Schizosaccharomyces pombe: one gene and its partner. Changing the gene in region 1 together with any one later gene gives a genetic interaction. Each region holds a gene or a part of one and is shown on either strand. Other genes may lie near its edges.

Evidence for each region. Genes that interact genetically often act in the same process or in processes that back each other up.
Region 2: of eng2 (region 1) and lsb1, a mutation in one rescues a mutant of the other (synthetic rescue), as found in Schizosaccharomyces pombe (one study listed by BioGRID).

Annotation. Positions count from the first base shown.
Region 1 is NC_003424.3:4,354,864-4,360,050, reverse strand, and holds eng2 (cell wall and ascospore endo-1,3-beta-glucanase Eng2), read left to right. Parts: upstream 1-1,858; 5' UTR 1,859-2,227; coding exon 2,228-4,348; 3' UTR 4,349-4,641; downstream 4,642-5,187. Other genes in the region: ayr1 (1-acyldihydroxyacetone phosphate reductase), read right to left, coding at 312-1,202; SWI/SNF and RSC complex subunit Arp42, read left to right, coding at 4,875-4,878, 4,955-5,187.
Region 2 is NC_003423.3:720,482-724,387, reverse strand, and holds lsb1 (SH3 domain-containing protein), read left to right. Parts: upstream 1-1,933; 5' UTR 1,934-2,044; coding exon 2,045-2,935; 3' UTR 2,936-3,381; downstream 3,382-3,906. Other genes in the region: copper chaperone Sco1, read right to left, coding at 1-629.

The DNA.
Region 1 (5,187 bases):
CACTTGCATACTAGCTGCGCGCATGTCAAAAATATATTTAAAAGATGTTGTCCTAATATTGGATGTTCTCTGAATATCTAATGAATAAAAAAAAAGTTACTTCTTTTTTGTCTTACTTACATTTTCATTGCATCCGTTTTAATGTCATCTTTCTTTCCTAAACTCGACAATACTTTCTTCCATTTCATTTGCTTTATAAAAAAAAGTGTGACATTAAATTACAAAAAAATACATGCAACGATTTCAAAATTGATTCCAATGCCAATGTTCCAAAAAGAGAAACACATATCAGACTGCTATCAACACTGAAATTAATCAACAGTGTGGTCTCTCCATACAGCGGTTGACGGCAGTTTTACGATTAACCGTACAGACATAGAAAACACCTCGACCGGAAGCATCGAGCCAACCCTACCAGCACTGCTCATGTAACCCGCCCAAATTTGTGCAGGGCGTACACCTGGTTTGAATAATTGATACCACCTTCCACGGCCTACCAACTGAGGGTATGCAGCGTCTGCAAATTCCTCAATCGTAACAAACTTTTCTACGGGATTTCTGTTTTCCAATATTAGTTTTCTGTATGGATAGTAAATTGAATTTTCTGGAATAGCGGCTTCTGTCATAGTGCCAAGAGGCTTGCTTTGAATTTTGGTTTGCACACCGCCCGTCATAATACTAGTCACTTGGACTCCAAAGGGGGCCAGTTCTATACGCAGCGTGTTGGAATATGCCAACAAGGCAGCCTTTGAGGCGTTGTATGCTGCATTAAAGGCAAAGGGAACATAAGAGACGAGTGAATTGACGTTCACAATTGTTCCTTTAGCACGTATAAGTTGATGTTGAAACGCCTTGTTCATTCGAATTACCCCATAAAAGTTAACATCCATGACTTTACTGACATCTTCGATATCCAGGTCAATGGCTGGTGCACTACAGGGAGCTCCTGCATTGTTGATTAAATAATGAAGGGAGCCGTTGGTAAACTTGCGCACCTCTTGCTCAACCTCTCGTACCGAATCTTCATCCGTAACGTCGAGTTTTAATGTTTGAAGGCCAGCTTTTGTCAGGTTATCCATACGTTCCACCTGCCTCGCTGTTGCTAAGACTTGAAAACCCTCTTGATGAAACTTCAAGGCCAACGCATTTCCAATGCCTCCTTCACTACACCCTGTAATTAGTACAAACTTCTCAGCTTCCATAATAAATTTCTCTATCAAAATTTCCTACTACTTGGTTAAGAAAGAAACCACTTTTGAAATAGATCTTGCTAGTCGCTACAACTTTCAAGTACGTCACATTTATTAAGCACTCTCACTCTTTCCGCCGTCATGAATAATAAGCTTGAAATTCAAATGTTCCATACAGTTTGTAGGATAGTTTACAAAAAAGAAACAAGAACGAGAATGAATGAAAGAGTTTTGTTGTTGAATGGTGTTTTAATGAAATTTTGGCATTAACTGTGTTTAGAGCTTATAATCAGTGTTTGCGATCATTTTTTTTAAGCTTGCTTTTCATTTATCCTTCTTTTTATTTATTTTTATTTTTCTTTTCATTTACATTGGCTTTTTCTTTTTTTTATTTGTTTTCCAATTATTTACTATTGTTTGGCATTACTAAAAAATGTTTTGCTTACAATATCGCATTAAATTAAATCAAACAAAAACTTGCAGTATGTAAAATCAATAAATAAATATACAAAGGTTTATGCAGTATTTGCATTAATCTATTAAGTTACTTGTAAAGTTTTAATATGTTTCTTTTGTTTTTTGTTTAGATCTAATATTATAGCTTAGTCGTTGAACCAATGATACCATGAGATGGGGTTTATATCAGTTTTGAGTAGAATTTGCAACCTGTCCTCACCCTCTATCGGGTTTTAATAGTGAAAGTAATAACTACTGTTTTTAACAGTTTTTCTTCAGTACTTTTGCGTGAATTCATAAATATTTTAGGACCGGTGAATTTCTCAGCGCAGTGCTTTTATCCGTCTTTACTGTTACTTTCGCTAAGTTATTTAAGACAAATAATTGAGTGTTGTTTCATTTTTTAGTTAGTTCCAAATTTTTGAGGTGGCATACTCCTAAAACTCTCGTTAGTGTAAAACCCGTCATCGACAGTTCGAAAAAGCATCCGAAATTAGACTTTTAGAAATTTTGCTTCGATCCTTTCTTATTCTTTCACTCGTTATCAAATTTTTTTGCTCAATTCATAGTCAGACGACATAATGGATGTTTTAGTACCAATCTATACTGGACCTATCAATCCGGTTTTTCCATCAAGAGCACACCCATCTCCTCCTCTTGGGCTAACAAGTAATTTGTTTCCAATTCAAACAAACAAGTTTTATGGTAACTTGTACATTGGCACCCGTCATAATCCATCATGGTCACATCCTTACTCAGTAACTTGGCTCAATGGTAGCAGCTATTATGGACTTGCGATTTCACATATTGATGATAGCCAACGCGTGTTTGGACCAGACCCAGAATCGGTTCCATGCCAATATTACTTTAATCCTGCTGGACTTTATTCCATAATCATTTCTGCACGAGAATTTGCTTCGGGTAACCTCTTATCCCTTGACCAATCTCGTCATTTCTCTATCCAGGCTACTCTTAGCGCTACAACCTCTGGTTCAGGGACTATAATCCTACCCATTGTTGCTGGCATGGGATTTGTAAGTGGTTATTATACCAATTTGACTCCTGTATTCAATTCCTCCATCCTTTTCTCATCAATTACTAAAATAAATTTCAGTAGGGGCTACAAATATAGAATTCAATTGACAGATGGAAAGATCTGGTTTCTCTACGCATTTCCTACGAGTTCGAGCAGTACCTTCAATTTGACTCTTGCTTCGAATTCTCAACTAACTACTTCTACAAAATTTACCGGTCTCATACAAATATGTAAAGTTCCAAACGAAAGCGTGAATAATTCATATCCGGATACCATCTATGATGCTTCTGCTGGTGTATATACTACGTCTATTTCTCTATCAGCTCAAGTTAGCGGTACCACCGGGGAATATTGGTTTCGTTTCGCTACAGCTGGATATACTAACTTAAATCCGCTAATGTTTGCTCTTCCCCATCATATGCAAAGTTTTGGTTCTGACACTCAAGCGTACAAAACAGGTTTAGGCTTAGCCAGTACAACAATGGGTATAATGTTTGCCTATGCTACTAAAACTTGGCATTTAATCGAAAAAAATCTTCCAACGCAGGTAGGTTTTTTACCAATTCCTTGGAATGGTGGAAGCAATACGTATTCTCCTACTGCTTTAGCCGCGATTCGTGCAGCTTGTGCAACTGATATTAACTTCGATGTCGTAAATGCCAGTAACCTTGACTCAATGTACACGTCTGGAAAAATAGTAGCCATGTATGCTCAAGTTTGTTTGGTAGCTTCTAGAATCCTTGGTGATAGCACTCTCACTAACACTGGATTGACAAAATTGAAGCAAGCCATGGCTAGATTTACTACGAATACGCAAATGTATCCCCTCGTTTATGATACCACATATAAAGGTATCATCAGTACGGCAGGATATAGTTCTCCTTTAGCAGATTATGGTAATACCTACTATAATGACCATCATTTTCACTGGGGTTATCATATTTACGCATGTGCGGTAATTGGTCTATTGGATCCTTCCTGGCTGGTTAATGATAACATTCGCTATGTAAATGCTTTATTAAGAGACAGTGCAAATCCAAGTGAAAGTGACACCTATTTTGCTATGTTTAGAAACTTCGACTGGTTTGTTGGACATTCATGGGCAACAGGTATATTTGAAAGTGGAGACGGTAAAGATGAAGAGTCAACCTCAGAAGACTTCAACTTTCTGTATGCAACGAAATTGTGGGGTATGGTGAGAAATGATACTGTTCTTATCAACCGTGCAAACTTGATGCTCGCCGTCCTAAAGAACAGTTTAAATACCTACATATACATGACACCCACTACTTCAGTACAGCCTTCACAAATTCTCGGCAATTACGTGACAGGAATTACATTCATGAACAAAGTTGATTATGCAACTTACTTTTCAGCTGAAGAATATTGTAAACAAGGCATTCACATGATTCCAACTACGCCTATCAGCGGATACCTTCGTTCTCCATCTTACGTTCAACAAGACTGGAACGCCAAAATTGCTCCGATAATAAATACATTTTCAAACAATTGGACTGGTATTTTATGGTCCAATTATGCAATTTACGATCCAAAAACTGCATACAATACCTTTGCTGCCAGTACCTTTACTGCTGATAAAATTGATAACGGAGCTAGTAAAACCTGGTACTTAGCTATGGCTGCTGGTATGGGTGGATCACCATGATGGCAAGGGAGCTAATGAAAAACTGAAGCATTACTTTTCGTTTCAAAATTATGTAACCATTTCAAAACAACACATAGAGAGAGCTACCTATTAGCTTTTTAAAACACTATCATTTGTTTTAAAGTTTTAATGAAATACTAATACTATGAAATAGAAAACGTAGCTATTAATGCAAAAAAACTGCTTATTCAAGTTGGCTTACTTCGAAGTTTTCCATAAATATTAAAGACAGAAAATTACTTTTTCGCTTCTGCATTGTTTTAAAACATTAACTAGTTCAATGGCTTAAGAAACAAATAAATGAATATTTCTAAAGTATATGATCAAAAAAGCCGTAAATTGTAGAGTTCACTATTCACGACTACTGAACGCCTTAACACTTTCAACGATGCATTAAATTTCTTTATATAGTATTGCTATCCAACACACGAAACTAAGGTTTACGAGACTAATAATTATATAATTCCTGCATCTACTAAAAGGATATTTTATCCATTTAAAACTATACTAAACTATTTACATAGACATGGGTAAGTGCGGTTAATCAACCATAATATGTGTTGAGACGAAGACAATGGCATGAAATGGCTAATGACCATACTTTAGAGGAAATTCCGTCATTGGTAATAGATCCTGGGAGTTGTTGGACAAGATTTGGTTATGCAGGAGAAGAAAGTCCGATGACTATCTTACCTTCATATTACGGTGTTCGATCTGATGTGACTGGTCGAAATAAATATGTTGTTGATGAGTTACAAATTCATGCTCCTATCCCAGGAATGGAAGTCAAAAACGGAAAAAGTAATGGGATTATACAAGATTGGGAATCTACTTTGTAC
Region 2 (3,906 bases), on another chromosome or scaffold:
TTCTTAGGGGTAGAAAAATAGACTCGGAATTTTTTACAAATATCTTTTATTTCTTCATAGGATCCTGTGAGACCAACGATTTTAGGATTGAAATCTTCAAGGTATTCAGCCATTTCTTGCGGAGGATCACGGGCTGGATCACAGGTTATGAAAATAGGATAAACCACGTCTCCAACAACATTGTTTACAATATCAATAGCTGCTGACATTTTGTCGAGCTCGTCGGGGCAAATGTCGGGGCATCTGGTGAAACCAAAGTAGATTAAGGAAAATTTTCCCTTGAAATCGTTATCAGTAACTCGATTTCCATGATGATCAATTAAAGAAAAAGCACCTCCTAATTGGGGACGACCTATGGTAGCCAAAACCTTGTCGTTTTGCCTCTCCAACACTTTTTTCTTTTCATGTTGGAAATAAGCATAAAGGCCAACGCTTGTTGCAGCTGCAAGAAGCAATGCTCTTATAGAAATCATTCCACGCCATGATTGGTATGTCTGCGTTCGATTGTCAGTAGCTAGATTTTTGCGACCGTCGGCAAAACGCGCTAGGCACGTACGATTCAAAGGAAATCGAGGACGAATCAAGCTGTAATGACAATGCCTAGAGAAAACTAAACCCCTTCGAAACATTACTTGATTTGAGTGATTGCCAACAATCGATTCAAAAATCGTAATATTTGGACAAGACAAAAAACTGAAGTTAAAACAGTAACAAAAGTATAACCAAGACTAGCAAGTTTTAAAAAAATTTAAAATCTTTTCTGTCTCTTCAAATACAAAACGGAGAAAACAATTTCTCACAAAGAATAAGCCTCTCCAAGTTAGTCCAATTTCACGTCAGTATGGGTATTTGGGTGGTAATGAAGACGTTGAAAATAGAATTTCACCAAAATTACTGCAAACATTTTAGCGTTCAAAAAAAACGTAATTTTATCGCTAATCCTTTAAAGAGTTCATATGCATATAGCCGCTTCTCCAATGCTGTAATTTCAATGTAATCTAAGTTTTAATACGAATGAAAATAGACACAAAATATGAATTTCGTCAAGGATCAGAATGACTTATAAATGAAAGAATCATTACTCAAACGGTTACTTAGCTTGTTCAAATCGCTATATTATAGTATGTGATTATTGAATATTTTTTTTTGGAAGAATAAAGACCATGCATACCGTCTATGCGGCTTTGCTGGAATTGTCAAATATACACAACTTGTGAGATTTATTTTTATTTTTGACAAATAATAAATTTCCGTTGGAAACCAATTATACTGCGCTGAGACGCATTTGTTGAGAGATTGAAAATTCAATTCACACAGCATTCTAAAGCACCAAAATCATTTTTTTAAAAGCCCAGATTTCAAGTCAGGATACAAAAATATTACTTCTACTTAGGGATGTTTTCAGGTACCTGAAGTGAGATTTGAAATTGAAAAATATCGTCTGGATAACTATACTAAGGACCTTTTTTATTTATACGAAAACACAGCTAGTGCCATGCTTTTTTGTATGTTTTTACGAATATCTGAAAGCAAAGGCTCTACATACGGCGAAATTTAATTGAGACATAACAAATGGTTAGAAATTCCTATTTCATCAAATTGTTCGATATTTTGTAGCCATACCTAGGAAAAAATTCTTTCTCAAATTTTCAATATTTTTTCCTGATACATTGAACTTGACAGTTCAAATGTTCTAAGTTAAAAATAATTCCACTTAATAACTTGCTCACATAATTCAATTTTTTGAAAAATTCTAACGAAAACTTATGGCACACAAGTTCTCATTTTACTATATAAAAGGATTTTTTTAAAAAAAATTGCATTGTTTTTCAGCCCCGGTGGAAAGCATTGGAATTTTGGCGCCACGATCTTCGTATGTTTTTTCCATATATATACCTACCAGGTATACACACCAAGCGGTAGTTGTAAACCTACCTTCCGCCATTACCACTAATCAGCAAAACTTTTAAAGATTGATAAGAATTAACTGAAATAATTTTTATTTGAGATCTTAAAGAGTTAAGTAATAAATTTCCATAGAAATATGGATCATAAAAACTACCTGAATCATGTTATTCGTGGAATCTACAACGACTTCCAATTCCTTGTTGATGAGGGCGTAGTTGAAAGGAGTGCTTTGGATTGGGTTCACGCAAATATCCATTTACAGGACGGTCCCGCTAGTCCTGTAACTGCTCCAGCTGCTCAACCTGTTGAGTCCTCAGTACCCCTTCCCTTGCCCAAGCGGAAGAGCTCTGTGGAAAAAAGAGCAGGATCGGTAGCGTCTGCCGTAGCAGCAATGTCTTTGTCTCAAAACTCTGGAGAAAAGAGGACACCCGAGGAACCTCGTAAGCTGCCTGGAGTGCCTGCCCCACAGAAGCAAAGCGAGGCTTCAAGTGTCAATTCATCTACCGAGAAGCTTCCCCCTCCTCCCAGCTATCCTGGACCCAATACTGCCCATAAGAACGTTGAGCGGGTTTTGGCGATGTACGACTTTCCTGGCCCTGATGCTGGTGATTTAGGTTTCCATGCTGGCGAAGTTATCATTGTACTTGAGCATGTCAATAACGATTGGTGGCGTGGTGAATTGAATGGAAAGGAAGGAATCTTCCCTTCTAACTATGTGCGTTTGTTGGAAGATTCTGCCGTTAAAGCTCAACCTCCTCCTCCTCCACCACAGCAAAACTATCCCCCAGCAGCATCTTCTTCGGCACCTCCCATGCAGTATCAGCAAACAGCATATCCACCTCAGCAAGCACCATATCCACCTGTCCAAGCCTATCCTCAGGCGCCTCAACAACCCATCGTGGTTGCACAACCGACCGAGCACAAGCACTCATCAACATTCAAGAAGATTGGTAGTGGTTTGGGTTCTGCATTTGTATTCGGTGCTGGTGCAACTGCTGGCGCTGATCTCGTCAATTCCATTTTTTAAATGCGAGTTCGTTTCTTTCCTTTTTCTATGCTTTTTTTCTTCCTTTATATAAGTAAAACTTTCTGTGTGGTTGAACTAGCACCTGTGTTTGTTATCGTTGGTGCGCAGTTGTTTTTTATTTTGAAATTTCCAAGTAGAAATTTCCGTATATCGCGAATGCATTTCCCTTGTTCATGTTTACTCCTTTGGTCTTTTGTCTTTTTCTCGACTATGCTTTATGCTTATAAAGCAACACCGCGGCATAGCTGCTTCTTCATAGATTGAGACACCTCATTTATGTGTATGAATTCGATATCCAAACATTGTTGCATATTCTTTATGATTATCGATGCGTACTATTAAATACGCATGTCTCTTGACTTTTGTTTATTTTTAGTGTTTTTCTTTTTACGACTTTCATACCGTTTATATTTTAATTCCATAATAAAAAAAATAAATTACAAAGCAAAAATATGATTAATAGGGAACGAATGACAGTGTATTAGATTTGTTAATATGCTATGGTAAATTGTTCTATTGCTTAACGTATATTAAAGCAAAAAATAGTAAACGGATGAGGAAGTATAAATTAGGTAGCCTTTGTTAGAGATTTAATTACGATGTCCGGTCAGAATCGTTTCCATTAAGCAATAAAAAAGAATCGACGTGGAAATCCCATGAATGTAAAGACTCACATTATTAAAATGGGAAGATAAAGTAAAAACTGGAGACAGCGAATGTCCAACAAAAATGGAAGATGTATGAATAATGATGAATCAAATTCGGTAACACGTTGATGGGGATTCCAAGAGAAAGTAGCAGAATTTCAAAAAAAAAAGAGAACGACAATAAAAATGAACCTTTGTTTAAAAATAAAAGAAGTCAACACACAATAAAGAATAATGAGACTATGAACAGAAATGAAACTCAAGGGAGAATTGTTATAAAAAGCGTCTGAAAGCACTGGGGAATGAATGAAAGGACTAAATTTG